Linked DNA regions of Rhinolophus ferrumequinum. The protein of the gene in region 2 interacts with the protein of the main gene of each other region in a biochemical or structural test. Links are inferred from orthologs where the notes say so. Each region holds a gene or a part of one and is shown on either strand. Other genes may lie near its edges. The genes, in order: GC, ACTA1 and GSN.

Region 1 (10,523 bases), on a different chromosome or scaffold from region 2:
AAAGAATATGTTATGAACAACATGTTACTATACTTAGACCACATAACTACAGATTCGGTAGTTATGGTGGTTTTTTTTAAAGGCAGGCTTTTTATTCTATTTATTCTTCTGACTTGTTTTATCAGTTAACATTTGTAGAATTGAAAATTTTAACACACTTCTCATAAATTAGCCACGATTGAGAAAAACAACGAATTCTCAAAAAACAGAAGTTATATGAGATCTAACAATTATGTTCGTGAACTTGTTGTATGATGTTACTAACCCTTTTGATATCAGAGGGATTATTCATTATGAATTTATACCAGCTGAACAAACAGTTAACCAAATTTACTATTTGGAAGTGCTGAAAAGGCTGTGTAAAACAGTTAGGCAACCTGAACTTTTCACCAACAATTCCTGGCTCTTGCATCACGACAATGCACCAGCTCACACAGCACTGTCTGTGAGGGAGTTTTTAGCCAGTAAACAAATAACTGTACTGGAATACCTTCCCTACTCATCTGATCTGGCCCCCAATGACTTCTTTCTTTACCTGAAGATAAAGGAAATATTGAAAGAAAGACATTTTGATGACATTCAGGACATCAACGGTAGTACAACAATAGCTCTGATGGCCATTCCAGCGAGAATTCGAAAATTGCTTTGAAGGGTGGACTAGGCACTAGCATCCGTGCATAGCTTCCCAAAGGGAGTACTTTGAAGGTGACCATGGTGATATTCAGCAATGACATGTATAGCACTTTTTCTAGGATGAGTTCCTGAACTTAATTGTCATACCTTGTATTATGTGTGTGTGTTGTGAATTGAATGTTTGTGTTTGGCTAGATGCTTTAAGTAAATTTTTCCATTTAAACTGTTATTTTTAAACTCATTGTATTATTGTACTAATTGAGGTTAATTAGTAGAGCTTGCATACAAATGTTTACCTACAACCAAAATTCATACTTTCTTTACTGTTCTAAGAGATTGCTTATTCCACCAGGAGAAAGTCACCTAACTTATCTACCAATGGTGATGATCTGAACTAATTCAGTTAGTGACAAACACTCTGGTCTTGGAGTCAGATTCTATATTCTAATTTCAAAGAATTTCAAGTACCATTGGTAGGCTCTGAACTTCAACTTCCTTATTTGTAAAATTTATGAAATTTATAATGTTCTGCCTACCAATGCATAAATTGATGTCCAGAGCAAATGAGTAAGTATAGGAAAGTGAATATGAACTGTAAAGCAATATTAAAGAATATGATATTGTTGTATTAGTACTCAGCTCTATGTTCATACTGTCAAGAAGACTTTTTTTTTTAATAGTTATAACTTTGCACCAAATTTTCTTTGTGGAAATGTAGTCAAGTCCCAGATATCTGAAGATGACAAATAATATATATAAATAGAATAACAGAAATATCCACTCTATTCTTTTATATTACACTCTATTCTTTTATATTTAACTGGATTCCTTTTTCAGAGTGCATCTTCATATAGAATTCACATGGCAGTAACTTGAAAAAAGCAAAAAAAGTCGAAATATGTGGTTATCAATCAATCATTGATTATGCATTAACCTCCTGTTTAAAATCTACATATTTGAAATGAAAATCAGGAGTGAACTTTCTAATAGATAATCAGAGATTCCATTTAAAAAAAAAAAAGAAAAACAAGGTTGGGAGTAGAATGAGAATAAAAATTTCTGTTACCAGGAAACAACTTGCCCAGTTCTTTTTATCCCCAACCAATTAGTTTAAGTATGACATAAAACTGAGCTCATCAAATCCCTTTATATTAATATCTTTGTCATACATTTTAGAATTCCAAATGGTGGTTTGACTGAATTGGGTAGCAATTTAACTGTTATCCAATCAATACAATCAAAAGGATGTCTGAGTCACACTAAACTTTAGGAGTATCAAGAATGAGAAAAATAATGTGAAAACAACTTAAGTTATAGGGAACTTAAAAATAATTAAGTCATACAAAATATCAAATTTTCACATTACTTGTCCAGTGTATAGTGAAAAAATTACTACATATGCAAAGAAATAGAAAAATGTCACCCATAATCAAGATAAAAACAAATCAATAGAAACCAACTCTGAGATGGCTCAAACACAGTACGTACATAGTCGACAAAGACTACAAGGAAACATTTATTAATTTGGAAAAAGATTTAAAGGACAATGTGTTCGAAGAATTAGAAATAAACATATGAGTAGTCTTAATGAATAAACAGAATCTCAGCAGCAAAATAGAACCTATTAAAAAAATCAAATAGAAATTCTTTGAATGAGATTAGAGATAGAAGAATAATGAACTTGAGACTAATGAACAAGAATTATCCAAACTGAAGAACAGAGAGAAGAAATTGAGTAGAGCCTCAGAAATGTGTAGGATAATATCAAATAGTCTGATACACCATTGGGAGCTTGAGTATTTAAAGTCCCCAAGAGAAAAGAGCTAGAATGTGTCAGAAAAGTACTTCAAAAATAACGGCTGAACATTTCATATATTTGGTAAAAAAGAAAAAAAAAAGAAAGAAAGAAAAACACATTGACTTATACATAGATACAAGAAGTTTAATGCACGCTTATCAAGATAAATATGAAAAGAGCAACACTATGTACAGAGGATAACTACTGAAAACCAAAGGTAAAGTGATAATTTTAGATGCAATCAGGAAAAACGAAGACACTACATACAGGACAGCAATAGTATAATGTAAAAGTTTCCAAGCAGCCTTGGCAGGAAGAGAAAAATGTGATAGAGAAAGAACTAAAGATGGACTTTGTCTCACAATTTTGCCTACAACTAGCTTTACTGAGGGAAAATCCTAATTTTTTTCTGAAGTTAATGGCAAGATAAAGAAGAAGGGAAACTACTTCCAATCAGTTCTTTATGGGCAAAACAACTCCTGTAAAATTCCATTGCTTCAATATTTAATGAATAATTTTTAAAAATATTTCTGTAATAAATTTCTGAGTTGCTGTAACTATTGCTGTAACAGTGTCAGAAGATTTGCTTCATATTTTTCACCCTTTTTCCCCATCTGACTTATTTAGAGCAACCATTGCAACATGAGACCTCTCATTTAAGCCAATTACGATTCTTTCTTTCCAGTTTTAGAATCAATGTAAGCAATCAACATTTGAAAGATTAAGTAAAATTACATAAATAAGACTGAGAAAAGGTTCATGTATTTAGCTCCTAGCATGTGAGTGCCAATTTTCAGTTAGAAAAAGATAAACTCTGCCAAAAGAATGCATTTGGCAGCTAGTGTAGAGATTTCTCAAGAGAACACCTAAATGAGATGTTGCAATTCTTGCTACATGTAGTTTATCATTAAACAAAAGTGGTTGATGTAATTGCAAAAGCAAAGATTTTTTTTTAAAAAATGAAAGAACAGGTTGGTCTTAAGCTCTGTAGCAAATCATAGGAAACAAGTAGCTGTATGTTTGAATGAATTAATCATCAGAAGATGACTGAAATACCATTAAATTAAAAACTACAAAAGTACATATGTTGTATTATCTTAAATAAAGATGAAAACTATAATGTGTTAACAGTTATTCTCTGAATTCTGGGTTTGTCAATTATTTTCAAACTCTTTGGCACTCTTTTAGAGTTTCTTTGTTTCCAAATAATTTACAGTAAGACTAAAGCATTTTCTAATTAACTTACAAAGAAAACTAGGAGTTTAACCAAAGGAAAAGTTTAGATTTGTGGTAGGCAGAAAGTTAATTTTTGAACAAGACTATCTTCCCATATTCCCTCCAACAATGTTCACACTATCTACTAATTTCCTTTACCACATGGGTTTCCATTGGCCTTACACAGATATCTCTTGCTTTGTTATCTTTTTTCCAACTAACTGGACTCTATTTTCAGAACCTAACACCCAAGTATTTTCAATATAGATGGAGGATCTGACAAAAAATGTAACTGCTTAGTGCAGCTTATTAAGATTTTGATGGAATTTGCCCATGCAGTTAGTCCTTAGCTACTAAATTGATAATGGAATTCTATATCACTTATCTGTGATAGTTCTAAACCTAGGATACAGGGCTGGTTTTAAATTTTCCACTGAGTTCCAGGCCTCATTTATTCCAATGATCTTTTCAGATATTATAAATTTGAAAAGCCAGTGGAGAAAGTGATAATAGCTAGAATATGATGAATAGAAAACATTAAGGCATGGTACTATGTGGTTGATGTTATGGTAAACCCTACACATGAATTATCTTAATTAAACTCACAACAATCTTATGACAAAAGTACTACGAGTTATCACCACTTTGCATATGAGAAAAATGAGACTTAAAGAGACAAAATAACTTCCCAAGATTATGTAGTCAATAAGCGCTGAGTAGGGATTTGATTCTAGAGCTTGCATACCCAACCCCTACCTAATCCTGCCTTCCTGAAAAGAGGGCTATTATAAGAACCAGGAGCTGACTTGATTCCAATGAATGGTAACTACTTGTGCCTCTCTGGGCAAATCACAGAATCTGTCTAGGACTTCGTTTCCTCTTCTGTAAATTGAAGATGTAGAATTCCATGCTGTATAAGGCCACTATGAGATCTCAAATTATAGTATCCTGAAATAAACTAGTGGTATGGTATTAATAGAAAGAAGTTTAAATTAGGTGTAGAAAGTCCAAGATAACTTTTGTGATTTGGGGACAGTCATTTAACCTCTCTAGTTATCTCCCTCAAGAAGAGGTTATTATATATATATATGTGTGTGTATATGCATTTATATGTGTGTGTGTGTGTGTGTGTGTGTGTGTGAGCGCGCGCGCACTCACGTGCTTGTGTCTGTATCTCAGTAGCTTCAAAAAATTTAATATAGAACCTAAATATAAAGTACTATCCCATCCCCTTCAATACATTTTATAGCATTGAATTATGGATTTGAGCAATTGTGATAAATTGGCTTCTCACTCTTGTTTTTTCCCTCATCACTTAAAAAAAACTAGTCTGATTTAGTGGTTACCAGAGGGTAAGGGGGTTGGGGGGTAGGAGATGAGGGTAAGGGGGATCAAATATATGATGATGGAAGGAGAACTGATTCTGGGTGGTGAACACACAATGTAATTTATAGATGATGTGATACAGAATTATACACCTGAAATCTATGTAATTTTACTAACAATTGTCACCCCAATAAATTAAAAAAAAAACACACAAAAAAAACCTAGCCTGCAGTATTTTAAGGTAATCCTTATTTGCAGTAGGTTGAAACAGAGAAGGAAGAAGGGAGGGAAGGAGAAACACAGAAACCTCCAAGTTTCTATTTATGTATGAGAAAGGTAGGGAATGTCCAAAAAAGACCTATAAAGGACAGGCAGGATGTACCCACTAATAAATTAAATAAACTTTAGTAAAAAGCAGCAGTGGAAAATAATCTGTGTATACTCTGACTCTTTTCAAGTTTGACAAAGTTAATGATTAAAGTCTCCCAGATTTGTCACTGCATTTTCCCCAGGGTGTTTATTTGCCTTGATTGATATTATTTTATCTCTGTGGGCCAAGGATGACTGCCCTTTCTTCTGTGTAGAGATTAATAATTGATTAGTTCATAGTTGGGAAATAGTAAAAGGGAATTGATTACTTTGGGCTGCATTTTTCACTGGGTAACCTGCAGGAAACAGGAGTGCTGCAGGACTTGCTGGCAGGAAAATGAAGAAGGTGCCGTTTCTCCTGCTGGCTGTAGCATTTGTGCATGCTCTAGAGAGAGGTAAGACTTCCAGTGGTGTGACTATGTATGAGAACTCTTACTAGTCTAATTTTCTGTTACCGTTTTAAAAAATTATACAAATGGTGATAAACAAGAGAATTTGTGAATATGTTGGGGAGAAAGGGAAGGATCAGAGAGACTCGTGTCAGAGCTCAAATATGGTATGTAGCCTTCAATTGGAATAGCCAAGAAATCAAGTTAATCTCATGAAAGAAAGAAAAATTATATAATTTGTCAGTTAGCCTTCCTTGCTTTTTTGAAACCTAGAGAGAATGGTTTGAAATTAGAAATATTTTAGTTGTTAAAAGATAATGCAAATGGAGTCTATGAAACATCACTGAGCATTTTTTCAGACTTCAAATATTTATCGCCATTGAAAGCATAATATACCATATCAATGATGCATGAGGTTAACTGAGATTTCTTTGATCCTCTTCAAGGAATCCTTCCTGTATGTGTAATATTTGGAAATGCATTATCGTTTTTAAAATATCCCAAATAAAATAATTCAATAGCTATGAAACTATAAAAGATAATTGAGCTATATTTTTTATTAAGATTATTCTTCAAATGGCATCTCCATCTTTTAGCAATGTTTAAAACCTTTTTAAATGATACAGGCTGAAATTATGCATATAACTTTGTGGAAAGTTCCCATGCTGCAAAATTTATAATCAGTTTCAATTTACTTTCCTGGCTGATTCTTTAATGCTTCTAAGGGAATCTGCATTCATCCTGCTTTGAAAAATTAACTTTCATTTAGTGCTTTCAGTTAAGAATCTCATCCAAATCATACATTAGTATTCATATTAATAATGTATTTAACCATTGGAATAAACTACGTGTACTACGTCTGTATCAGAAATTATTGGTATTAACTATAACATGAATAATCTTACTGCGGACATTTTCTTATTCTTTTTACTTTCACTTTTCCTTGATCTTACTTTTATCATTCAAATAATTTAAAATTTTGTCTTATTCACCCATAGATTCTTAAATAAGCTATGGATCTTTCTTTATGTAAGACTACAAAGTCTGAGATATGGGGTATAGATAAGTAAAATAAATTGTGTCCCTTACAAGACCTCTGAATACGCCAAGACCCAAGAAACCCTACAAGCTTACTCTTTTGTCCAAGGTTTCCCTGGAGCAGATATGAACCTGAAAAATCCTACTGAAGCAGGTTTAGTTCAGAATATCCAAAACAGAGAAGGTCCAGTGCTGGAATTATATGTGGACTCCATAATGTGGGACATGAGTGACCATTTTGGACTACGGACTCAATAACTGTACATTGGTCTCACCTCGAAGAGTTACGGTGCCCTTTGAAAACTAGCAGATTATTCTGCAACCTCTGTTTCGACATCCTTCTGTATTTTCTGGCTCTGATGAAATGAATGCTAAAAACCTCAAGCCAGCTGCCTTAAAAGTCTAAACTTCACAATGAACTTCAAATTACCCATGTGCCATAGGTCTGATGATATTATCTGAGACAGACATTTATAAGCAACAAATATTCAACATTTGGAAATGATGCTCCTGACCCATCAGTCCTCTGTTCTATAAGGCCTGAGCATGACCCAAATACCAAGTTAGTGGTTCACTTGGAAGCTAGGCATGTGCCCTCTGGCAGGAAGTTACAAAGTATATGGATAAAGGAGTTGAGAGAGCTTTGGATGGTGAGGGATTGGTTTGGGCTGCAGCTCTCTCTGCCTGTTACAGTTCTGGAGAGCTAACTGATCGTCTACAGCATTTGTTTAGAACACCTCTTCCAAAGTATATTTCACTCAAGACTTGTCTTGGAAAAAACTTTATATGGCCAAACACATTTAAGAAATAAAACATGCATTAGTCCTTCTTGGTTAGTTCACAATCAATGCCTTTATTGTCCCCAAGGTTTTGTCTGAGCAGTCCTACCAGAAAGAAACCTTATTTAACTCAGAATTCCCCAAGCACACTGGCTTTTACCTAAAATGCCAAGACCCCATGAAAGTATTCTTTGAAAATTGACACTGCTGTCGCTCAACATGAACATCAACGCCAGTTAGGCCAGTCCTCTTTAATCAAGCCGCCCTGGGAATTCAGTTCACATCTGGGGAGAGAAGGGCTTATCAAATGTGCCAAATCTAGGTGGTGTCATAAGGAAACATCCACTTTAGCTACCCCTTGAAAGGCAAAAAGGCAGTGTTTGCCAGTTGCCTCCCCTTGGCTTCTTTCCCCAGGACTGAAATGTAAGTAGCACTAATCTGCAATGTATCTTTCTCTCCCCCCCCAAAAAAAAAAAAAACACAAGTAACAAAGACTGCTGACACAACTATACAATTATCAAAGAAATAATGCTAACAGGAAATAAACCATTATAATTTATACAAGCTGTTGGCAAGAATAGGACATTTACTATGAACATTTTCATTTTTGCTTTAAGCACTTCATTCTCAGCATACAGTTTTACTAAATAATACCCAACAGAAAGAAAGCCCCCTTTGGGTTGGTGGATGAGCTATGTTTCCTTCTTCCACTTGCTTGTCAAAACAGCCGTAGACAATGTGGGTTATCCCAATCTCCCAAACCACCACTGAATCACTGTTTCTCTTTTTTACAAGTTTCCTGCCCCTTCATCAGTTACCACTTGAAAAACAAAGCTGTCCTAAGTTTGGTTCAGGAACACAGCTGTACAGAATGCCAGAGAGAAATAACTTAGGATAAGTAGATATCCCCTCTATTTTTCCAAATAACTTTATAAGCTTTCTGTAAAACCTACATATGATTATTGAGGAGAAGACGTAGAATGTGAGCACTACATGATGAAAAGAAGACAGCCACGTAAAGATCTAGAAGTGAGTTTGAAGTGGGAGGAACTCAGGTGTAAAAGTCCTGAGCTAAGAACAAACATGGTCCAATCCAAGTGCACAAAGAATCCAGAGTAAAAGCATAAAAGAGTCTTAGCCAAGAGGGGAAAGGAAAAGGAGCCAAAGCCAGAAAAGTAGCTAACTTCGTCATCAAAAGCAATGCTAACCTTCCTGGACATCAATAACAATATCACATTTCATCGTTGCAATGTGCAATGCCTGGTGTGCACTCATCAACTTGTGTGTGGTGTAGGGATAAGTGTGCACATTCTTTAAAAGGCCACAGATGAATCGATATAGGAAGGAGATAAAGAAATCCCTAAAAGGAATCGATAACTCTCTCCTCTACTATCTATGATAGTATCCAGTATCCAGTATTAATTCTGCCTACTGCAACGTTTCTTTCTCCTATTTTCCCCCAGCTCACCGTGCCGCACCCACGCTGTCCTCCACACTATCCCATACTCTATGAACTCTGTACCTCAGGGCTTCGTACTAGTCCTCCCTCCTCTTAGATCACTGATCCCCCTGATAATCCATCTAGCTCCCTTCCTCACCTCCTTCTGGTGTTTGCTCCAACTTCATGTACTGAGAAGGCTTCCTTGACTAACCTATCTCAAATAGCACGTACCACTCCATTTTTCTCTATTCCTGTACCATGCCTTTTTTTTTTAGCATTCATCACCTTACCTTATCACCAGCTGTTCATTTGTTTTTTGTAATGAATTAAAATGTAAACTGTAAAATGTAGAATTCTGGCAGAACCAGAATTTTATGCTAATTAGTTGGGTTTACAAAGATAATGCTATCACTTGCATTGCTGCCTTTATTTGAGTTACCTCAGCTAAAATCTTTTGCTACTGTACGACCAAGTATAAGAGGGAAATACCTGTCACTATCACCAGTGTAGGGGGAATTAAGTGAAACTCATGCTGCTTACTATGAATCATCCATAACTGGTCCAAACGCCACATCATCCCTATCCCGTGAAACTAACTCTGTCTTCTAACTTCCCTATTTTCCTGACACCATCATATCTGGGTTATTTATGTTCAATCCTATAAAGCCTTCTTGGACTTCTTTCTTCATCTTATTATCCATATTCAATCATTTCCACATTCTATAAAATTCAGCCTTGAAATGGCTCGGACTTTGTACATAGCGTTCTAATGTAGAAACTTCCTCAGTGTTCCTTTTGTATCTCCCCTTTACCTTCCTCATATGCCTGGTTCTCGGTCTGTGAACACCGCCTCTCAAACCTACTAGGTTTCCATTTACATTTCCATACACTGTCCTAGTCCAGGCCTTTGTTCCCCTTTACCTGACTATTATGTCTTCCTAACCAAATCCCTGCCTCCCACCCTTTGCCCAACTAATTATTATTAAAATACAATATAAAACTTGACATGATGTAATAAATGGAGTCCAAAAATGAATTGATTACATTAAAAAATCAGAATCACCATTGTGAGATTAATGAAATAATGGGTTTGAGTATGTATAGCTGGCTGGTGAGATTCTAGGGATCAAGCTGTCTGATATGAATCCACCCCAATTCTAATCTCTGTTTAGAGTCACCTGATGGTGGGTGTGATCTCAGGCTTAAATATTAATGAGTGTGTGGTAGGCAGAATGAGGGCCCTCCAAAAATGTCCACATCCTAATGCCCAGAAACTGTGGATAGGATAGGTTACATCACAAAAGAGAATTAAAGTTGCAGATGGAAGAATGTTTGCTAATCAGCTGAACTTAAAGTAGAAAAACAATTGGGATTGTCTGGGTGGGACCAATGGAATCACAAGGATCTTTAAGGTGGAAGAGAGAAGCAGAAAAGAGGTGACAAAAAAAAAAAGGCACAGAGAGATACAAAATTGCTGGCTTAGAAGATGGAGGAAAGTGGCCTACAGCCAAGAAATGTAGGCCACCTCTAGAAGC
Region 2 (10,859 bases):
GGAAGCTGCTCCGGTTTATGGGAGTGGTCTGGGATTTCAGTTACGTGATATTTTCTGCTCCTTTTTGCCATGTGAAATTCATTAGTTGTCTCCGTACTCAGCACCCTTTCACTCTCACTGTACCCAGGGTTCTGGAGTACTTGTCCCAGTTCTGGCTCCTTGTGTGCCTGCATCTCTTCTGGGCCTCAGTTCCTGTAACTACAATGACGGGATTGCCCTGGGTTGTCTCTGCAGTTGCCGTGACTGGATATCATGCGCTGATGGGATCTGGAGCGATTGGTGTCTGTTTTGATTAGGGCTAGTGGGCGGTGTCTGGTGAGGTTTTGCTAAATTATGGGACTAAAGGACAAAACAGAGTGGGCCTAGATCATGTGAGCTTGGTGACTGATTCATTCACTGGGAAAATTTTAAACTTCTGCATAAACCATAGAGTATTAATGAAAGTATTTTAGTGAATAAAACATTTATGTGGCTTTCTAGCCTACCCATAAGTTGCCATCTAATAAGTTTGTAGTAGTAGCGTTAGTTACCGTCGTTAGCGTGGGGGTTCAGTCAGCTTCCTATACTTCCAGGATGATTTACACCGAACTCCAGCTTTATGGAGAGCTAACATAAAGCTTGTGTAATGCTAGAAAGCACTGCAGGTTTTCTCACTGTGGCAGCTGGTTTCACTAAAAAGTAGTCGTTACCCAGTTTTATCCAGCTTTAAATAAAGACCAGAGAGTGGACAGGGAGCTGCTGGCACTGCCATCCTCGCCCAGTTGAGAGGGCACTCATCATCTTGCTCCAGTAGCTGAAGGTCAAAGTTAAATACGGCACCAAGGGCCCAGTCTCTGGTCTCGGATCCAGCCGGCGCCGTCTCCCTGCGCTCCTTCGAAGCGGCTTCTGTTCACAAGGCAGTGAGGGCGCTGCTTCCACGAGTCACCCGAGGGGAACAGCCAGCCTGCTCCCTTCTGTTCACAGCCTGCATGTTGGCACAGCTTAGGAATATAGTGAGGACTTCTAAGGAGCCAGACGGCCGGGAAGAAGGAGGAAAAGCGAAATTAGGACCAAGATTTTAAATAATTTTCTCTCCAAAATTTTTAAAAATTTGCTTTACAATATAGCCTTTATCAGACAGTCATTGATTTCTAGTTAAATGGAGTGTTGATCACAACAAATTTTAAAGGTGAGCATTTCTAAGAAAGGGGCATTTCTGACTTGCAAAGATCTTTGTTTTCACTTGTCTGAATGTTGTTCAGAAAAACAGTTTGTGGCTCTGAGTCGAAGACTACGGCTGTGTCAGAGAGAGGAGCAGGCGGGTATACCTGTGTGTCAGGTAGAGGAGTGGCCAGGTGTATCTGTGTGTCAGAGAGGAGCGGGCGGGTGTACCTGTGTATCAGGTAGAGAGAGGAGTGGGTGGGGTGTACCTGTGTGTCAGGTAGAGGAGTGGGTGGGGTGTACCTGTGTGTCAGGTAGAGGAGTGGGCAGGTGTACCTGTGTGTCAGAGAGGAGTGGGTGGGTTTACCTGTGTGTGGGTTAGAGCAGTGGGCAGGTGTACCTGTGTGTCAGGTAGAGAGAGGAATGGGCGGTGTACCTATGTGTCAGGTAGAGAGGAGCTGGTGGGGTGTACCTGTGTGTCAGGTAGAGGAGTGGGCAGGTGTACCTGTGTGTCAGAGGAGCAGGGAGGTGTACCTGTGTGTCAGAGAGAGGAGCGGGTGGGTATACCTGTGTGTCAGAGAGAGGAACAGGCAAGTGTACCTGTGTGTCAGAGAGGAGCAGGCAGGTGTACCTGTGTGTCAGGTAGAGAAGTGGGCAGGTGTACCTGTGTGTCAGGTAGAGAGAGGAGCCGGCGGGTGTACCTGTGTGTCAGAGCGAGGAACAGGCAAGTGTACCTATGTGTCAGGAGCAGGCAGGTGTACCTGTGTGTCAGAGGGAGGAGCGGGCGGGTATTCTTGTGTCAGAGGAGTGGGCAGGTGTACTGGTGTGGGCCAGATGTTGTGAGACACAGAACCAAGGTGAGAAGCCACTGGTACCTCTTTGTAGGGACTGTGTTTTTGAAGGAAGCTTTGAAGGATTGTGATTCATTTTTCCTCGGGAGAGCATGCAGGCCGGTGGAAGTTGGTGTGCCGCCAGGGCTTCTTCCAAGCGTGCATCCTGCCATCAGACCTGCTTCTGACTCTGTTCTAATCCAACACTGCACGTTTTCAGGCTGACAGCTACAAATACACAAATATTTAAATAGTTTAGCCTCACCTGCTCATTACTGGACATTTTATTGGGCATTTAATAGCTTTACTATTCTGATGTAAATCTACTCACTAAATACCAAAGTACATTTTTAAAAAACAATCTGTGTAATTCTAAAATTTTAAAAATTCTATAGAAAATGTTAAACCTTTAAAAAAAAAATATGAAAAGAAAGCCATTTAATCCCCGCAGCCCGGAGTAGCTTCAGTTGCCATTTTGAAACAGAACATAGAATGGGAATGTTCAGGCTCTTATATTTTGTGACCTCCTACTGCTGATGTGACACTGAGCATATCTGTGTACCTTAATCCAGGATGGTCAATCCTCACTCACCGTTGACAGGTCCTTGGCACTACCATGAAATAATGTGTAAGGAGACCAATTTTGCCAGAGGCTAATTGATACTAGTAACAGTTCAGTTACTTTGGCATCTTGTCGATGTCATAAATGTCATTCGAGGACCTGCTGTGTTCCTGAGCCATTGTTATCATTCCTCCTTTTTAGATGGTGTTTTCCTGACCGCTCTTCCCCCGCCCCACCTCCCGTAAGTTTAATACAGTCTAACCACAGGTAGACTGTATCTTCTTATGGACCGTGGCCCTTGGAGGCCACAAATCATTGTGATATTTAAGGTTGTTTACCCTCTGAGACCCCCTTTGAGGATACATGCTTTCAGTATTCAAGGCACAATTTCTTAATGGCTGCGTGACACTTGGCCATGTGGCTGTACCATAATTTATTTAACAGCCCTGTCTCTTTCTTAACAATCTTAAAACACTTGGGTTAATGGTTTTGGATTGGTTTGGGTTTTGGCATTTTTCTTTTAATACTAGAATCAACCTTCGTGCGCTCCAAATACATTTAAAATGACATTAACTCTTCCTGTTTGTGATGTTGTGTGTTCGGTGAAGTTATAATGATTTTTAATGTCCTTTGCTAACCGCTCCTACCACCTCACCACTCAGCTCCTCCAAACTCTTAGAAGACACTGCGCCATTCATGGAGAATTCTTCCACGCCAGGATTTAACCTAGTTTTAACCTTCAAATCAGTCTTAAGGAGTAGGTGGCGTCCTCAGCTGAGAATGCTGTCTTCCTGTCCAAGGTCACAGCCAGTCCAAGTGGAGGTACACCAGACAGGCAAGCTTGTCACCAGCTCGTCATACGAATGTGAGAAGGGTGGGGGACAGGGATGGTCAGGCCCCTAGAGGTGGCCCGGAGGCCGAGCGAGAAGCCCGCAGCAGGAGCTCTCAGCCCTCTCCTGACTGCCTTGGGCCGCCTGACCGAGGTGTGTGTCTCGGGACAAGGAGGAGTGCTGTCCTGTGTGCACCTGGGCTGGGTGTTTGTGCCTGGGTGCTGCCAGCCGGCGCCCTCACTGCCCCGTTTGAGAGGGTACTTACAGGTGAAGCCATGACTTCATTGCAGGTGCCTTTGCCTTCTGTTGGAAAAGCTCCCTTGCGGATGTTTCCAGAACTGCAGCAAGTGTTGGGAAGATTAAAGGAAGAGAGGAGCAGCCCTTCCCGCCCTGACCACTGGAGAGGAAGGCTGCCAGGAGGCCTTCCTCACTGCTGCGGGCTGAGTCTTGATCTTCTCACCTTTAAAAGTGGAATGAATAGGACCCATCTTACCTCCAGAGAGTTAGAAGGATAATGGGAACAACATGAAGGCATATCAAGTGTTTTACTGATTCATGTTCAACTTGCTAGGCAACTTGATAGAAAGCTTAGACTGAGCAAGACGAGTGTACAGCTATGTGGATGGAGGGGACAACTGGACACAGCAGGCGTGCGCACACTGATGCCTCGTAGCAAAGGGCCCTGTCAGTATGGAGAGCGGAGGCTGCGCCTGAAAACTTAGAAACAGGAGCTCCGGCAGGCATTCCCTTCACGTGACCTTTGGTAGTGACCGGTCCCAGAAGGATATGCAGGCAGTAACCTACTTATGGGGCGAGAGCACTGGTGTGTTTCCCAAAGGCCGAGGCCAATGGCGATGGCTTTTCCACCTGCTTGTTGGGTCTGCTCCCTAAGCCAATGGGAATTCAAGACCAGACCCGACTGGAAGCAGCCACATGGCTACAGCTCTGAAGAAGCGAGCCCCTGCTGCCAGGAGGGAGCGGATGTCTGCACCCTTCTCAGGGCCCATCTTCCCAAGGTTTGCACACGAAACTCTTAGCTGTCAGTTTTTCATTCACAGCTTTTAGTGTGTGTTTGAATTTAATACACTCTGAGCTTAGAAAAGCTTGCTATAGCAAAAGAGTCACACTGAGCAAGAGTTGTGGAAAATAGTAACAGTCCCGTTCCCTTTAAAATGTCAACAAATTGTTAGGTATTGAGTGAATGACAGCACGTTTCTTCCTATCCTTAAGACCACATTATAAGCTCATATTGTACCTCTGGTGCATTTGCCGGGTTTTTTCTAGCGTCTCCACTACCGACTGACAGGGCAGGACGCCAGGTACTAAAAATGAGAGGTAGCTCTCTGAATTATTGAAATAATTGTAAAGGCTAAATGTGAAAGCATGGTAGCTTTTACCTGAGCCTTCATAACTCACTGTGGGCCCTGTACTAACCTCATTTTGTCATTGACTTGGGTCATTTTTAGGAAATGCTGCCATGATGTGGGCTACAGAGGATTGCGTATGCCTTTATATTGCTCAGATCCCACACCTGTCCTAGGTACCCAGTTCCACTACAAATGGGAATTGCAACTATTGGGGGAACACTTAAGCACATAGAAAGATGAGTGATTCTATTGGGGCTCCTACCACCTCGTTGATGTACTCCCCACTCCACCCCACTCCCGAAAGCATGTCACTGAGTTCATTCCAGAAAATGGTTTCTCCTTGTGCTTTCTACAGCAAGGTTAGAACTGTTCTTGTCCCAGGGGAAATGGGAGGCAGGCACCAACTGGATGACCTGCTGTGACCCTCACTCCACCTTACCCCGAGAAGATCCAAATGCTTCTAGAAAATGTGAAAGGCATATCGCATGTGTCAGGGGTATAAATAGCAGGGCTCCACGGGCTCTGGGGGGTGGTGACTCCCGGGTGGACTGGGACGCAGCCCTGCCTTGGCGAGGGGTCATCCTCTAAGCACAAAGATGAGTTTGTTCAGCCATCTCAGAAGGAAAAACTGCGTCCGTCCTAGAGCGTAATGTCCTCGTCCTCTTATTGAGAGGAAGGACAGGCAAGGAAGGCTTCATTTAGTAAGGGCACCTCACCTCCATGTCGTGGGTTCTGTGTGACACTCGCCTTTCAGCTGCAGGGGGAGGACACTCAGTGACCCCACCAAGGACGTGGGGATAGGGCCCTCAGCTCGGCCCACTGAAACCCGGGCTGCTCAGACCGGCAGGAAGAGAACGACCGATACAATCCACTCCCTTCATGAACCCCCGCCCCCGAACGCACTGCGCGTCACCCGGGCCGACAGCTCCGGTGCCCTGGTTTAATGCCCGGCGCTGCCAGGGCCACCGCCGGGGCCTGTCCCCGGGAGCCCCGCGCCTCCTCCCCGCCACTCCGCCCTCTGCCAGTTGTCTGCCCCGCGACAGCTGCGCGCCGTCCCGCCGCCGGTGGCCCTCTTGGCAGTGGGGGTGGGGGCTGACTTGGATCAGCCCTCTGGACTCCGGGAGCTCAGGGGTGGCGAGGGAGAAATGAGGTTCCCTAGGGGGACACCGGGTGTGACTGCTCCAACCCTCTCAGGCCCCCCACTTGGACACGGCTCCCTCCAACCTGTAGTCGCATGTGAGGGTTTGGTGTCTGAGTGAAGCACCGGGAAGAAGGGGTGAAATGTAGGCGGCGCAGTCCGGAGCGTCCAGTGCGCTCAGAGCGGACAGGTGCAGCGCCGGGAGCGCAGGCGCACAGTCCACTGGGCCGGGTAGGGAGGGGCCGACCCGCCCGGGAAACGCTCCATATACGGCCCGGCCCGCGTTACCTGGGTCCCGGCCAGGCCGCTCCTTCTTTGGTCAGCATAGGGGCCCCGGGCGGGGGCCCAGGCCGCGAACCGGGCGGAGGAGGGGTCTCTAGTGTCCAACACCCAAATATGGCTCGAGAAGGGGAGCGACATTCCTGCGGGCCGGCGTGGGGGTAGCGCCCACGGGCTATATAAAACCTGAACGGGGGACCAACGGCCACCGCAGCGGATAACGCCGAGAGAAGCCTTGCTTCCCTTCCGCGGCGACCAGGGCCCAAGCCGGAGAGCAGCAGGTGTAGCCACCCGCCCAGGTAGGGCGGGAGTGGGGAGGTGATAGGGGAACAGGGTCCAACTGACTCACTTGATCAGCTCCACGTCTGAGCCCTGCGCTTGGGTCCCCAGAGCCACACGCGCCTTAAAGAGGCGGCACCAGACAACGGGCTTTTGAAAACGTCTCCAAATATATCCCGCCTTTAGGCTGTTCTACCTGGCATTTAGTATATGCCCAGGTACATGAAAGGTTTTGTTTTAGTCCTCCCGAGGGCAATTCCCATCTGAGCGCCAGAGCCAAGCGACAGCCAGGGCCACTACTCCCTCGGTTGTGAGTCTGGAATGTCGTGGGGCTCCGGAATAAGCCATTCTTCCCTGGATGGCGCCCACAGCCTTTCCCACGGGCTCCTTCCACCCTCACACTCACCCAGCGAGCCGGTACCCAGGCCCTATCCCTCTAGGTGAGGCCCCCTGAGTGCGGAGGGGTGGGCGCTAGCGCATGGCTCTTGCAGCGGGTGGACTGCAGCGAAGGACACGATCTTGCGCTCAGCAGTCTCAGGGGACACTGTGCCCCTGGGTTCCCGGGGTGGAAAAATGCTCAGTGGGGTCTCGACGACCCTGAGCCCCTCTTCCAGGCACAGCACAGCCCTGAGCCTGGGGAGCGAAGAGTGGGAAGCTAGGAAACGGCCCCTTTGGCCGCTCCCCTGCCCTGATGCTCACGTCTTGGCCTGGTGGTGTCCATAAGTCCCGGGGCACGGAGAACGCAGGAGCCCGCGGGGCCTCCTGCGCTGACGCAGGGTGCGTCTCCACCACCTTCCTGTCCTTGCAGAAACCAAACACCATGTGTGACGAAGACGAGACCACCGCCCTTGTGTGCGACAATGGCTCCGGCCTGGTGAAAGCCGGCTTCGCCGGCGATGACGCCCCTAGGGCTGTGTTCCCGTCCATCGTGGGCCGCCCTCGCCATCAGGTCAGGCTGCGCCTCCGCGGAGGGGGCGGGGCCGGGGTTCCCGCGTGGCCCAGCCGCGCGCTGTCCTGAGCCGCGGTAACGAGTGCGTGGTGTCTTGGGTCCGCAGGGCGTCATGGTGGGTATGGGGCAGAAGGACTCGTACGTGGGCGACGAGGCTCAGAGCAAGAGAGGCATCCTGACCCTGAAGTACCCCATCGAGCACGGCATCATCACCAACTGGGACGACATGGAGAAGATCTGGCACCACACCTTCTACAACGAGCTGCGCGTGGCCCCCGAGGAGCACCCCACCCTGCTCACCGAGGCCCCCCTGAACCCCAAGGCCAACCGCGAGAAAATGACCCAGATCATGTTTGAGACCTTCAACGTGCCCGCCATGTACGTGGCCATCCAGGCCGTGCTGTCCCTCTACGCCTCCGGCCGTACCACCGGTAAGTGCCCGCAGCCGAGCCCCGCCCCGCCCCGCCCCCCGGCGCGCTCCCGCCCGAGAGCCGGCCTGCTGCGCCTGCGCCCGGTGCCCAGGCGTGAGAGGCCGCTCAGTCCCTGCGGGGTTCCCGCCCTGCCCCCGCGCAGGCATCGTGCTAGACTCCGGCGACGGCGTCACCCACAACGTGCCCATCTATGAGGGCTACGCCCTCCCTCACGCCATCATGCGCCTGGACCTGGCGGGCCGCGACCTCACCGACTACCTAATGAAGATCCTCACCGAACGAGGCTACTCCTTCGTGACCACAGGTGCGCGGCCCACGGCACCCTGGGCGGGAGGGGTGCGGCGAGCTCCGGGGCCCCGCACTGAGGGCGCCTCTCCCGTCCCTGTCCCCCGCAGCCGAGCGCGAGATCGTGCGCGACATCAAGGAGAAGCTGTGCTACGTGGCCCTGGACTTCGAGAACGAGATGGCGACGGCCGCCTCCTCCTCCTCCCTGGAGAAGAGCTACGAGCTGCCTGACGGGCAGGTCATCACCATCGGCAACGAGCGCTTCCGCTGCCCGGAGACGCTCTTCCAGCCGTCCTTCATCGGTGAGCCCCGCACGTCCCCGCGCGTCCCCGCCGTGCGTCCCCGCGCGTCCCCGCCGCCCCGCGCGCCTGCTCACATTCGCCCTGCTGCCCCCAGGCATGGAGTCGGCGGGCATCCACGAGACCACCTACAACAGCATCATGAAGTGCGACATCGACATCAGGAAGGACCTGTACGCCAACAACGTCATGTCGGGAGGGACCACCATGTACCCCGGGATCGCCGACCGCATGCAAAAGGAGATCACGGCGCTGGCCCCCAGCACCATGAAGATCAAGGTAGGCGGCAGCCCCGCCCCCGCGCCCCGCGCCCCGCGCCCCGCGCCCACCTGACGCGCTGTCTTGCAGATCATCGCCCCGCCGGAGCGCAAGTACTCGGTGTGGATCGGCGGCTCCATCCTGGCCTCGCTGTCCACCTTCCAGCAGATGTGGATCACCAAGCAGGAGTACGACGAGGCCGGCCCGTCCATCGTGCACCGCAAATGCTTCTAGACCCCGCGCCCTCATAGCGTGCGAATTCTCCCCAGGACGACACACCTGCTCCAGCGCGGCGCAGCCACTGGCTCTCTAACAACTCCGGTTGCTGCGGCCGCAAAGCGACACAGTGTTTATAACGTGTACATACATTAACTTATTTACCTCATTTTGCTATTTTTAAAACAAAGCCCTGTGGAAGGAGATGGGAAACTTGAAGCATTAAACCCCGCCATTCTGTGATGCTGCGTCAAGTTGTTTGTTGCGTTTATTTGCCTGGGCGGGAGCGGCGGGGACAGGGCACGTCGCTGCCACAATGCTCCCGAGCGCACTCCTTACGAGCCCTTAGCTAAGACTGCCCCCTGGGATCACATCCGTTCCCAAACACTGGCGTGGGGTGTCCCGCCTGGGCCCGCTGTGTGCGGGTTCTTCGCCCTGCGCACCGCGCAGCAGTCAGCCAGTTCCGGTTCCCGCCAGCCCATTTCGGGGCGCTGACCGTGGTGCTGGCCCGGAGCGGCCCCGGGAGCTCCTTCCCGCCCCACCTACCGCTGGCTTTCCTCGTTGAGCCAGGCTTCCCCGCGTAATCTCGACAAATCTAAACGAAAGGGCTGTGTTCTGCATTGAATGAACCCGTTTTCATTTGTAAGTGAAGACAACCACTTCTCTTCTCAATTGGGAACTCCTCTGCTTCGTGCCGGGTGACGGAGCGTAAGAAACGCCCCTTTCAGGGAGGGGCCGGGAAGAGCGGCGCCCAGAGGGGGGAGGAGGGCGAGGAAGGGCGTCAGGAGAGCGGTCAGCGTGTGCGGCACTGAGGGCGGCCAGCAAGGAAGCGTCCGGAGGCACGGCAGATGAGACCGGCACTGGACAAAGAGGAGTAAGCACTGTTTTAAAGGCACGAGATATATTAAAGAGTTTGACTTTCTGTGGGACAGCACAGTATATATATATATATGTATATATATATGTATATATGTATATATATATGTATATATGTGTGTATATATATATATATATATAATGTTTCCTAGTCAAGATTCCTAAGAGCAGTGTCCCTAAATAGATTCTGACTCAAAAAAGATAATAAACTCCTTTGAAATAAGTGTATAAGTAAAATCAACAACAGCTATGTTATATGCCACATCATCATAAGTTTATTTCCTCCTTTCATGGCATATTGAAAAGCTTCGGAAATCTTTGAGGCCTCCAAAGTTGGAAAACGGCCAAATCCAGATATCAAGAGAATCAATCATTCAGTAGAAGTCAACATTTTTAATAAAACAAGTATGTGATACTATCGGCACTGAAAACCAGGTATTACTGCCCCTCCCAGGGCTAATTCTAGATTCTAGTCTTTCAGAGGAATGTAGCTTTTATGGCTCATACGTACTAAACAAACACAGATATATTTGAGCAAACACAACACACACACACACACACACACACACACACACACACACACACACACAGCCTGAATAAGGCATGTACCCAGCAGCCTGGAAAAATGTCAGAATTACATGAGTTAGCTAACTTTCATGTTAAACATTTTAAAAAATATGCCGTATTTTGCAGTGTAGCATGTACTCCCGTGTATAATGCGCACCCACGTTTTTGGCCCAAACTTTCAGGGAAAAAACTCTTTTATTTTATTTTTTTAATTCAAATTTTTATTTATTTATATTTAGTTACTTGGTTTTTATATTATAAAGGAATTTTAGCATTTATTTTTTAACATTATGGTACAAGAAATTTTATGTAACAAATAATTACAAAACACAAGAACAGATACAAGGTACAAGAAATTTTATGTAACAGTAACAAATTTATGATATTTACGCGTCACAGAAGGCCAAGAACTCTTCGTTGCAAGTTCATCGTAAATTCAACAAAACTGATTATCGTATTCCAGGGTATTATTTTGCATACGGATATCGTTACTGATTTCTAGAGCTACTTTTTAAACTCATAAGCATAAATAAAAGAATTAAAAACATTTATA
Region 3 (10,887 bases), on a different chromosome or scaffold from region 2:
GTAGTCAGAAGAAGGAAAAATCTATAAAGATTTATATTTTTTAAAATGTTAAATTGTTTATAAAACAAAGAAAAACATAGCGATTGGGGCCGAACCCCTCCACCCTCTAAACACAGGGTTCATTAATCTAAGAAATAAGAAAGGGACGGGAAGGGTTCAAGTGATTCTGTGAGTTTCCCATCTAGGATCAGCCCAGCCCAGCCTTGATTGTTTGAATAAAGGGTTTCAAATAACTCAACCCAGAGGGGTCCCTAGGGTTCTGTCTGAGAGTAGAGAGTGAAGGAGGAAAAGAAGGAGGGGTGGGGGGCGGGGGTTGACTGGGACGGGATCAACGGATTCTGAAAAGTGCAGTGACTTTTAAAAGGAGTTGGAGGTTGCAGAACAAGATGAGCCAGGCCCTGTGACAGCCCTCTCTAGTATCTCCTGTCCCTTCCCTGCCCCTTCTCACAACCGAGGACAGAATTGGCTCTGAGGTGCAGGCTTTCACAGGAACAAGTCTTGCGTAACAAGCTCTGCTCCTTGGGGATCTATAATTGATAAGGGCGCCAGGCCAGAACCTTGGGCTGGGCCAGCCAAGTGCGGGGGCAGCCGGAGGACTTGGCAGGGGGTAGAAAACAGGACCGGCCTTGGACCTCATATTTTCACCAGGAACAGGGTCTTCCAGAACTGATGTCCCAAATCCAGGCCCAAGTTGGGAACCCGCCCCCTGGACCATTCCCAAGTTTGGTCCAAGAACATCCTGAAAAAATCCCCGGAGGGTAGGGGAGCCTTGCTAAACATGACCTAGGCTCTACCTGAGCTAAGATCAGAGACCAGGAGACCTAGAAATGTCCACTCTGAACCACCTCCATGCTAGCCCTTCATCCAGGTTTGAATCCCAGCTCCATCACTTACCAGCTGTGCAAGTTGCTTAACTTGTCCACACAGCAACAATAAGCAGGGTTATTTATTTATTTATTTAAGGAAGGCGCAGCTCACAGTGGCCCATGCAGGGATCGAACCGGCAACCTTGGTGTTATTTAGCACCACGCTCTAACCAATTGAGCTAACCGGCCACCCCAATTATTATATAATTGATCAATGTTTGCTGAATGGATGACAAATGGGGAACGTGTCAGGGCACACACCCAGAAGCACACAACTGGTCCAAAGCCTCAAAGCAGTTACAAGAGTGGCCTTGGGACCATAAACCTTAATCTCTCTGGCTCCTGGTCAAGTGCTCTTTCTGCTCCCTATTCCAGGAACTACAAAAAAGCCTGGTCCTTCTCCAGGTCAGGGGCCTGGGTTCCAACCTTCTTACCTCTCCTTCAAGGTACCAAGGGGCCCAAGGTACCAAGGGAGAAGCCCCAGAAGGGGCTTTGTAAGTAGAAGGTAGAGCCGGACAGCTCAGGATTAGCAGCTGTGAGCACCAGTGAACCAGCAAACATGGGGCACTGGTAGGTTCCCGGGAATCCAGTCCACCTCTGCCCAGCCCAGAGCTGAGGCCCTGTTCCCAGGATACACCCTGCCCATATCTGTCTCACCAGCATGTTCCCATCATCCAATTCCTTGTGCCTCACCTGGGCAGAAAGGGTCACCACAGAGGACCCTGAGGTCCAGAGAGGGACGATGACTTTTATAAAGTCACACAACATATCAGTGGCACAGACTTGGCTTAAGAGGCAGGTTGGTGTAGTGGAAAGCATGCTGGGAGTCAGGCGATCTGGGTTCTGGTCTTAGCTCTGGGACTGACTTGCTGTGTAACCCTGAACTAGTTGTTTAACCTCTCTGTGCCTCAGTTCCCCTCTATCCCGTAAAATAAGAGATTTGGACTCTGACATTAAGGTCCATCTGGCTATCAAAGCTTGTGATCCTCTCCCTATCCTAACCAAAGAGAACCCCAGCTCTGCAAAACTACAGCTTTTCCTGAGCCCTTCCAAGCCAAGCCCTGTGCAAGGCATTTCCCAGCTACACCTTTACCAAATCCTCTCCACAGGCCTGAAGGGCAGGTACAACTGGCTCTTGTGTTACCAGAGAGGAGAAGGAGGCTCAGGGAGGCCAAGTGGCTTGCCAGAAGTCACACAGCATATTAGGGCACAGCTTCTCAGGACTCCTAGCTTGGCTTTGCTCAGCCCCACCTGGCTGGGGACTGGGGGAAAGATCTGTGTTGGTTCAGACTCTTCAAAGTTCAAGTTCAAGGGGGATTCTTCTAATGAACAGAAAGAAGAACGTCATCAAGGGCGCCCCTTTCAAATATCTAACATGGGCACTCTGTCGGCAGGGCCAAAGATCTAAGGGGTGCAGGAACAGGACTAGGTCCACGCCCCTGGCAAGCGAGGGGCTAGGTTTCCACCCATGGCCTACACCTTGCTACTGGGGCTAGGAAGAAAACCCTGTGAGACGATGGGGAATTTTCTTCTCTCCATTTTAAGATAAGGAACCAGAGGCTCACAGAGGAATTGTGATTTGTCCAAGGTCACACAGCTAGGAAGGGTCCAGGATTCAAACCCAGGGCTGGCCAATGCCAAAGGCTGAGCTCTGACCTGTCTTCTGACATCTCCCCACAGGACTGAAAGATGGGTGGACCTGAATGTATCCTGCCATTGGTGCATTTGTCCCTGCCGCCCAGGACCCACCTGGTATTTGAGGCCAGACTTGAAGTAGCCGAGGAACGTGGCCGACTCGAAGCCCTGGACCTCGCGGTGTTGCACGGCCCGACCGTTCAGGTAGTCGTCCAGCTGCACGGTGAAGATGGCAGCTGCTCCACTCTCATCCTGGGTACACTCATTGCCTAGGCGACATTCGAGCAGCGTAAGCCTGGCTTCCGGAGAGTAGTCCCAGCCTCCTGTGGAGGACTCTGGAGCCCCCAGCACGGAGCAGGCCTGGCTGTACAAACTGGGCAAGCCCCTCAGTTAATCCATCTACATAATGGGGGAGGCGGGGGCCGGACTCCATGGTCTCTGAGTCCTCTCAGCTCTAACACGTTCCCCTCCGCTCACCTCTCTCCCTCATTGCCCTGCACTCCCTCTCAGCCCTCCTGAGCGTGATGTCAGGCCTGGGAGCGTGGGCTCAATTCACACATTAGGAAACGGACGCTCAGCAGGCGCAGGACTTACAGTCACACTACAGAGCTGTGGCAGGGACTCCAGGCTCCCAACTCTGAAGGGTAAACTGAGGCATGGCTGGAGACGGGCCAGGGAAGCTGTGGAGCAGGTCCAGGGTCCCCAAGTCACCCCCAATTCTGAGTGCTACACTAACTCGTTTACCCCTCCCAACACCCCTTCGAGGTAGTGTGGCACTGCCACCATCATGTCCCCTTTCCAGAGGGACTGAGTGCCTTTCCAAAGGGCAGGGCTGGGCTCTGAACTCGGGCAGGCTGGCGCTAGAGTTTGGGGACACATAATCACCAGCCAAGGGCCTGGGACCTACTTGATGCTCAGTAGTCACTTAGCTCCCATGGGCGTCCCCCTGGGGACCATGCCTCAAAGGTCTGTGCTTTATGGGAGTGGGGCCTGGGGTGGGGGCGGGCCTCACCCAGCCAGTAGTGCAGGTCGTACTGCAGGTTCCCATTCCGCAGCTGCACTGTCTTCAGGATGACATAGGCATCGCCTGTGTAGAAGTTTCCGTAAAGGTTGGGGGGTACAGGTACCAGGTCGAACTTCTCCACACGCCAGATCTGCAGACCAGGCACCTTTCCGGCCTTGAGGAACTCGGGGTGTTCCACCACCATGCTGCCGGGCTGGAAGAGACAGGGCGGAGCCTGAGCAGGGGTGGGGGCCCTGGCGGGGAGAGACCCCGGGCATGAGGGAGGGTGGTTTCCAGCACCAAGAGCATCCCACTTGAGCCTCTGACTCTCCCCACCCCCGAGGCAAGTCTAACCCCTTCTACAACCCCTGTCTCAAGGGGTGAGCAAACAGGGAAGAGTTTAGGCTCCAAACCCTGCCCTTGGCCAGAGAGTAATCAGTTCTCCAATCATGGGGAGACAAAGGGCTCCAGCTCCCTTCTCCTTCCCTTCTTAGTGCCAATTGGATGGGACAGCTGAGGCACAGAGAGGTGAAGTGACTCTGCCAAGGACCCCCAGCCAGAAAATGGCATGGCAGGGATTGCCCCAAGCTCCAAGAGCACGAGCTCTGGGACCATGAAAAGAGCCCCTCGGATGGCAGTGGTAAAGCTGGGGGTCCCCAGGAGCTCAGCATTGTTCCCTTCCAGTATCCTCAGTGACTCTTAGAACTAGAAGGGTCTTCAGAGAGCTCCTCATCCAACCCCATTCTGCAGATGGGGAAACTGAGGCCCAAAGTGGGGAGGGGACTGGCCCACGGTCACACAGCCTGTTTGTTTTTGCTCTTTGGAAATGGGAAGATATCCCATGCCCTGTCCATGTCCCCATCACATCCCCAAGAAGGGCCTAAATGACTTAGCCCAAGTGGCCTCCTGCGCTGTCTGCCTCCTCCCTTCTGCCCCCCAATACCCCATCCCCAAGTCCCATTTCTTAGAAAAGGCAGAGAGGATGCAGCTGGGGTCTGCAGGAGCCTGTTGGAGATAAGGAGGTCAGGAATGGGGGAAAGGCCATCAGACATGCACGGGGCTAGAGATGGAGCAGAGTGAGACGGTTAGCCTGAGGCCAAAGGGCAGAAATCAGCAGGCACAGGTCACCTGGCCGGAGGACAGACCTGATGGGAGAAGTCAGAGAAACCGGACAAGGAGAACTCAGGCAGAGGGGTGAAGAAACGCAAAAAGGAAACAGGAGAGAAGAGGAAAAACCAGACAGGGCAGAGGAGAGATCAGAGAGGGGAGAATAAATAAGAGTAACAACAATAAGCACACAGAGGTGACATCATACAAAACAAAGGGAGAAAATATTGGAGAGGGAGGGAAATATCAGATGAGAAAGAGGAATCTGAAATGGAAGCAATAAGAAGAGGGAAGAAGAGAAATCAGGCAGAGGGAAGGAAAAACCAGATGAGGAAAAGGAGAAATCAGGCAGCAGGGATGGATAAGACATCAGAAGGCGGCAAGGGAAAAGAAATCCGGCCAAGGTGAGGTTAGCCTCTAGGGAGGTTAACAGCCAGGTCCCCGAGGCTCCCACCCCCATCAACGGGAGCCCGGGAAGCAGCAAGAGATACTTACAAAGCAACAAAACAGTTTATCCATTCTAGACCTGAATTACTCCCCTTTTCCTAGCGCTGTATCTGCAAGAACTTACAATAGAGAGTTACTCTGGGAACCCCCGGTCCCCCTGGACACTCACCCGCGCCTCGGACGCCCGGCCCTGGGATGCGGGTGTCTGGGCCGCCCCCCGCGACGCGGTGGCCGCACGGGCCGGCGGCGACAGCACGCACAGCGCCAAGACCAGCGCGCCAAGCAGGGCGGGCGCAGAGCGGTGCGGAGCCATGGCGGCGATGGCAGCAGAAGACCCAGTCAGCAGCCACCGCCTTCGGGTCGCTCACTTTAAGTAGCCACCCGCCCATCGCATCCAAGCCGGGAACGCCCTGCAGGGAGGGCGCGGGGCAGGGTTGGGCCCCAGCGGGGCCGGGAGGGGCGGGGATCTGGCCTGGATTTTGGAGACATCGGGGTTCCCATCGGACCAAACCCACTGGGCGTGGCCGCCCCTTCACCCCAGCTCCAGGGCAGAGCCCAAGCACAGGGGCTGGCATACAGCAGGCGCTAAGTCTATGGATGCTAAATGGGAGAATTCACGAACGGCAGGGAGCCCAGCTCAGCGTCCTGTGAGACCCACGCAAGACCCCAACCCAATCTGCACCTAACGTCTCCAGGACTTATTGTAGGTTCACCACGCCTCATACGAGGGTTGACACATGACATCCTTTACAGAGTGGGTATATCGGCAGGCCCATTTTACAGAGGGGGGAAACTGCCGCGAATAGCCCGGCCACCTGCACACCGGGACATGGTGCAGCCAAGATTTGAACCCAATCAGTCTGGGTGGCCCAACTCCCAGGAGCTAGGGGCAGACTGGACCGGGAGTAAACAGAACTTAGCGGGGGGGGGGGGGGGGGGGGGGGGGGTGTGGCGGGAGGGGGTGTCCGGCAGACCTCTCCACTCCTGCAGTTGCAGGTTCTTCTACAGCATTCAAGACTGCCTTTCTTTTTTATTTTTCAACAGTTTTCATTTTTTAAAACTTATTTTTTATCAAAGATTAAAGTCACATATTTGTACAGAGTTACTTCTCCCCAGGGGCAACCACTTCTATCTACCCCCTTTAGCTGATGATTTCAGTGTTTACCTTCATGTCTTAAATAACAAAACCTGTTGCATCTTGTAGTTGTTTTTGTTTTGGTTTTTGTGTTTTGTTTTGTTTTTCCAGTTCTAGGTCCTATCTATTGGCTCCCCCTGGGAAGACAAGGTTTTAAGCCTTGTCCCCACTCACAGGCTCCCTTCCCGTTCCTCCACCCTCCCACTCGTGAGGCAGAGTCACTGCATTAGGAGAAGGACTCTTCAGACTCTCTTAATCCTGCCAATCCCTCTCTCCTCCCTCCCATCACACTGCTCATCTATGTCCAAGTTCTCTTTGCATCCCAGATCTCCCCGTCTCCCAAAAGCCTGGAGGGACGTCAGGAAAGAGAAATGGGGAGTTGGAGACCTAGCTCTGACTCCCACCACTGTGTGTAAGTTACTTTCCTTTTCTATGACTGTCTCCTCATCTACTAAATGGGTACAGTAGCTGCTGAGGACTAAATCAATCTCTGTGTATGTGTGAAAATGGCCTGGCCTGCAACCAGGTAAACGGGAGTTCCCGTCCCCTTCCCCACAGCTATGGTCCCCTGTCCCAGCCCCTCCTGGAGCCCCAGCTTCTATCTAATCAGTGGCAATTGGACCTCGGCCCTCCACAACTTCTTTCTACCGAAGTGGGTCTGTGGGACAGATAAAGGGGTAAGGGAACACACACACACAGAGGATTCAGATCGGAAGGAGAGTAAGAAGACTTCATAGAGAAAGGAACTTGTGACCACGGCGTTGAAGGAGAAGGAGGAGGGAGACTAAGAAGAAAAGGCGTTTTCAGGGCAGGAACAGCAGGGACAAAGGGCAAGCAAAGGAACGCAAGCAGTGGATAAGGAGGGGTCCAGTCTGAAACACAGGGAAAAAGAGGAGCCGAGGCGGGGAGAGGGCGGCAGGAGTCACAGGGCTCGAGCGTTACACTGAAGAATCTGAACTTTATATCTGGGTGTCTGTGGGGAGCCACAGAGAGATGCCAAGTTCTCAGGGCTGCCTGTCTAGGCCCTGGCCCAGGGAGCCTGCAGTGGGCCAGTTCAGGCCTAAATTCAGACAGTTCTTCCCTCTCTTTAGGCATTTGGGTGATTATAAAAACCCCACAGTTGTAAAACAAACAAACAAATAAACAAAGAAAACCCACAGTTGTCATATGCTCTGATGGAAGCATAAACCGGCTTCACCTCTCTGGGTAGCAATTTGATTATCCAAATTCGAAACACACGAGGCAACAACAGATCCACTTTCTTCAGAATTACTTACAAAGGAACACAAAAATACATGTGCAAGGATGTTCACTGAAGCATTGTTTGAGGAAAACTGGAAAGGACCCAAATGTCCTGGTTAAATAAATTACGGCGATGCCATACAATGGACCTCTCTGCAGCTGTGAAAACACAATGAGCTAGATGTGATTGTGCCTGGCACATAGTAGGCACTCAAGCACGGAGAGCTGTCCAAGGGCAAAAAAGCAAATTGTACGACTGCAGTATGACTCCTCTCCTTTTTTATAAGGGTGTCTGTGTTTGGATACATCCTTCAAAAGTCAAGAAGGACAAATGCCAAACTGTCAAGGTGGTTTGCTTGGAAGAGATGAGAACAGAGAATTTCCACCTCTGATACTGTCGTGATAGCCTGAGGCGGCAGTGAGCCCCTCGATCACTGCACTCAGCAGGAGGACACATTTTAGGGTGATGACAACATTCTACCCTGGATTATGGGGATGACTGCACAACTGAAAAATCTACTAAAAATCGGAGCGCTGTATGCTTACAATGGGTGAGTTGTTATGGTATGTAAATCATACCTCAATACTCTTGCTGAAAATAAAAAAAAAATGAAAACTTGCTCTGGGAGTTGAAACTATTTACAAATATGTATCCAATGCAATTGATGATTTTTAATGAAACACTGATCTAGAAAAAAGTCCTTTTCAAAATGTATAGTGATGCCTGCTCATTAGAGAATTTGGAAAATCCAAACAAGTAGGAAAAAGAAATGTCCTGTCATCCCAGCCCCCAAGAGCGAAGTGGAGCTGGCAGCTGGCAGCTGGCCCACGTCAGCAGTCCCTTCTTGGAGCACTGTGGCTCTGACCTCCCCACTGGGTGATTAACGGAGGGTGTGGTCTTGGGCCCAGGGGTCTGACAAGCAGCCCAGGGTCACTGGCCCTCAGGTTAATGGTCACAAAGGCCTTGCAGCTTTGCCTGCCACATCTGAGTAGCTCTGGAGCCTGGGCCCTCAGCATTGGAGACCTGGTGAATGGGCCCTGGGCCCTGCCCTCCGGAAGCCCACAGCCTGGAAACTCTACTTGGTAGAGATGTGTGGAGCCTTTCATGGGGGCAACATGGTCTTATGCTGCTCCCTGCCTGGAAGAGGATATATGGGTTCAGGAGAGTGGGGGACTTGGGTGTGAGAGAAAGATCCCAAGGTAGAAAGGAAGAGGCCCCACTGCTAGGCCTGGCTCTGCCACTGACTTCCTGGGTGATTTGGGGCAAGTCACTGCCCCTCTCTGAGCCTCGGGGTCTCCATTGCAAAAGATGAGATAGGTCCCTATGCTATTTCCAGCTCCAGCATTCCCAGATCCTGGCTGTGCAACCACATCCAGAACCTACATGTCTCTGAGCCTCAAGGTTCTTATCTGTAAAATGGTACTGGACCAGGTCATCTGTACAGGTACTTCTGAATCTGACAGTCCAGCACCTGTCCTGCAGAAGGAGGCATTGCCATCACCATGCCACCTCTCCTCTGGGCCCAGACATCTCTGGGAGAAAAGAGGGAGGAAAGGAGAGGGGGGGTCCAAGGCTGAGTCTCCTCATAGCAACCAGTGTACATAGACATTCAAATTCCCATTTTACAGATGGGGAAACAGACTCAGGGAGGTTCGGTCACTTGCTCAGGGCCACTCAGCTGGAAGGAGGCATTCCTGAGATTCAGACACAAGTGTGGCTGGCTCTAGTCTCTAAGGTCTATCTGGGGAGATGAAGCAGGGCCTCCTGGCACCATCCAGCCTGGACAGGGAGCAAGTGTCCTTTCCAGGTAAAGGGTTGCAGTTGCTAAATCAGCCAAAGGCAAGCCACGCCTGGCAGCCAGCAGTCTCTGGGGCAGCCGTCCCCACCACACCCCCCAGGCCAGGGCAGGAGGCTGGACCGGGAAAGCCCTCTGCCCTCCACACACCTGTGTGAGCACCCAGGACAAAGGCATGTCTTAGGAAGAAGCTCAGGCTGTGGCCACTGAATGGACAATGGCCTGTGACACTTACATCCTAGGCCACTCATGGGCACTCAGGCCAGTCACGGTTACTGTGAGTTGAGAGGCAGCCTGGCTCTGCTGCCACTCGCTCTGTGAGCATGTCCTCAACCCTGCCCTTCTCTGGACTCCAGAGGTCCCCTGGTCTTGGTTGTTCCTGGCTCCTACCCGGTACCATGAACAAAGTAGGCAGTTTTTCAGTGTCTGCCACAGGAAGAAGCCGTACAGCCCACGATCCTCCCCTGCAGTTGGACCCAGGATGGCCGCGGGCTTCGGCCCTGCCTCCTCTGTGACCTTAGGCTAGTCTCCGTGTCTCTCTGGTGTCCCAGGGCAGTTACCAGAGCCTGGAGGAGGCGGCCTCACCCTCCGCCCCTGGCCACAGTGTACACAAGGCCTTGGCCAGGGCTGGAAGACGCCGCCCTGTTCTTTTCTCTTCACCTCAAACAAAGTTGTTTTTTATTTCCCAGCAGCTGGCCACTCATGGGAAGCCTCCTGGAGTTTGTTTGCTGTTCTCTGGGTCCTCCTGGGAACACCCGCCCCTCTGGCCCAGGATTTTGCTAATTGGGACAATGGTAAACAAAGAAGCAAGTAATAAAACTCAGTGAAACTGGACAGGGCTGCAGGGAGGTCTGGAGAGCCCCCGTGGACCTGAAAGGATGTGTGTTTTAGAATTTGGGAGACTCAGTTCCTTGAAGTGACTCAGTTTTCTTATCTAAAAAACGGGGAGAATGATACCTAGCTCACGAGGCAGTGAGGAGGCCCCTCACGGGGCCTGACACACGGTAAGAGCTCCCCAAAAGTTAGAACCCTTCTTCTTGAACTATCTGGTTTCTTCGCAGAGGCCTTTATTCAGCATCCGCACACCGTGTGGGAACAGTGGAGCAGGAGAAAGGTTACAGACTCCACAGGGAGATTCTAGAGTTCAGGTCTGGGCTGTGTCACCTGGAGCAAGTTACTTCCCCCTCTGAGCCTTGGGTGACTCATTTGTAAACAGGGATAGTGGTGTCCAGTTGCAGGGTGGTTGGGAGCTCTGGAGCAAGAGTAGCGTTGGGGGCCATTGCGCAGCACAGGACTCATTAGCAGGACTCACTGGGCATCCTGTCTTTGCAGATGACGACACCAAGAACAAAACCGGGACTTCTCAGAATCAACAGCAAGTCCCTGGCAGAGCAGACCGAGGCCCCGGGTCCCTTGGTGACCAGATCAGAGCTGAGGCCTGTGTCCTGTGCCAATGACAGCGCTCACGCTAAGGGCCAGCTGGATCTCTGTGTGGGCCCAGCCTATCCTGGGTGTGGACAGCTTTTGGGGAGATGGCCAGTGGGGTTTGGCTGAAGCCACCTCTAGGAGGCCGACTATTCCAGGGACCAAAGCCACGGGCCTTTTCCCAGCTTCTGGAGGCAAGCCCACCTTGGCTGAGAGCCAAGGCAGGACATT

Evidence for each region.
Region 1: the proteins of ACTA1 (region 2) and GC are reported together in a solved structure, tested with the Homo sapiens proteins (2 studies listed by BioGRID and IntAct). The link is inferred for Rhinolophus ferrumequinum from reciprocal best matches to the Homo sapiens genes ACTA1 and GC.
Region 3: the proteins of ACTA1 (region 2) and GSN are reported together in a solved structure, tested with the Homo sapiens proteins (3 studies listed by BioGRID and IntAct). The link is inferred for Rhinolophus ferrumequinum from reciprocal best matches to the Homo sapiens genes ACTA1 and GSN.

The regions. Positions count from the first base shown.
Region 1 is NC_046288.1:29,378,745-29,389,267, reverse strand, and holds the start of GC (vitamin D-binding protein), read left to right. Parts: upstream 1-5,596; 5' UTR 5,597-5,678; coding exon 5,679-5,736; intron 5,737-10,523. UniProt on the Homo sapiens protein: Involved in vitamin D transport and storage, scavenging of extracellular G-actin, enhancement of the chemotactic activity of C5 alpha for neutrophils in inflammation and macrophage activation.
Region 2 is NC_046310.1:26,952,594-26,963,452, forward strand, and holds ACTA1 (actin, alpha skeletal muscle), read left to right. Parts: upstream 1-6,275; 5' UTR 6,276-6,427; intron 6,428-7,233; 5' UTR 7,234-7,245; coding exon 7,246-7,374; intron 7,375-7,480; coding exon 7,481-7,805; intron 7,806-7,947; coding exon 7,948-8,109; intron 8,110-8,200; coding exon 8,201-8,392; intron 8,393-8,486; coding exon 8,487-8,668; intron 8,669-8,737; coding exon 8,738-8,881; 3' UTR 8,882-9,113; downstream 9,114-10,859. UniProt on the Homo sapiens protein: Actins are highly conserved proteins that are involved in various types of cell motility and are ubiquitously expressed in all eukaryotic cells.
Region 3 is NC_046295.1:71,655,005-71,665,891, reverse strand, and holds the start of GSN (gelsolin), read right to left. Parts: upstream 5,414-10,887; 5' UTR 5,372-5,413; coding exon 5,228-5,371; intron 5,173-5,227; exon of another isoform or gene 5,131-5,172; coding exon of another isoform or gene 5,107-5,130; intron 3,719-5,106; coding exon 3,514-3,718; intron 2,771-3,513; coding exon 2,616-2,770; intron 1,056-2,615; exon of another isoform or gene 981-1,055; intron 1-980. UniProt on the Homo sapiens protein: Calcium-regulated, actin-modulating protein that binds to the plus (or barbed) ends of actin monomers or filaments, preventing monomer exchange (end-blocking or capping).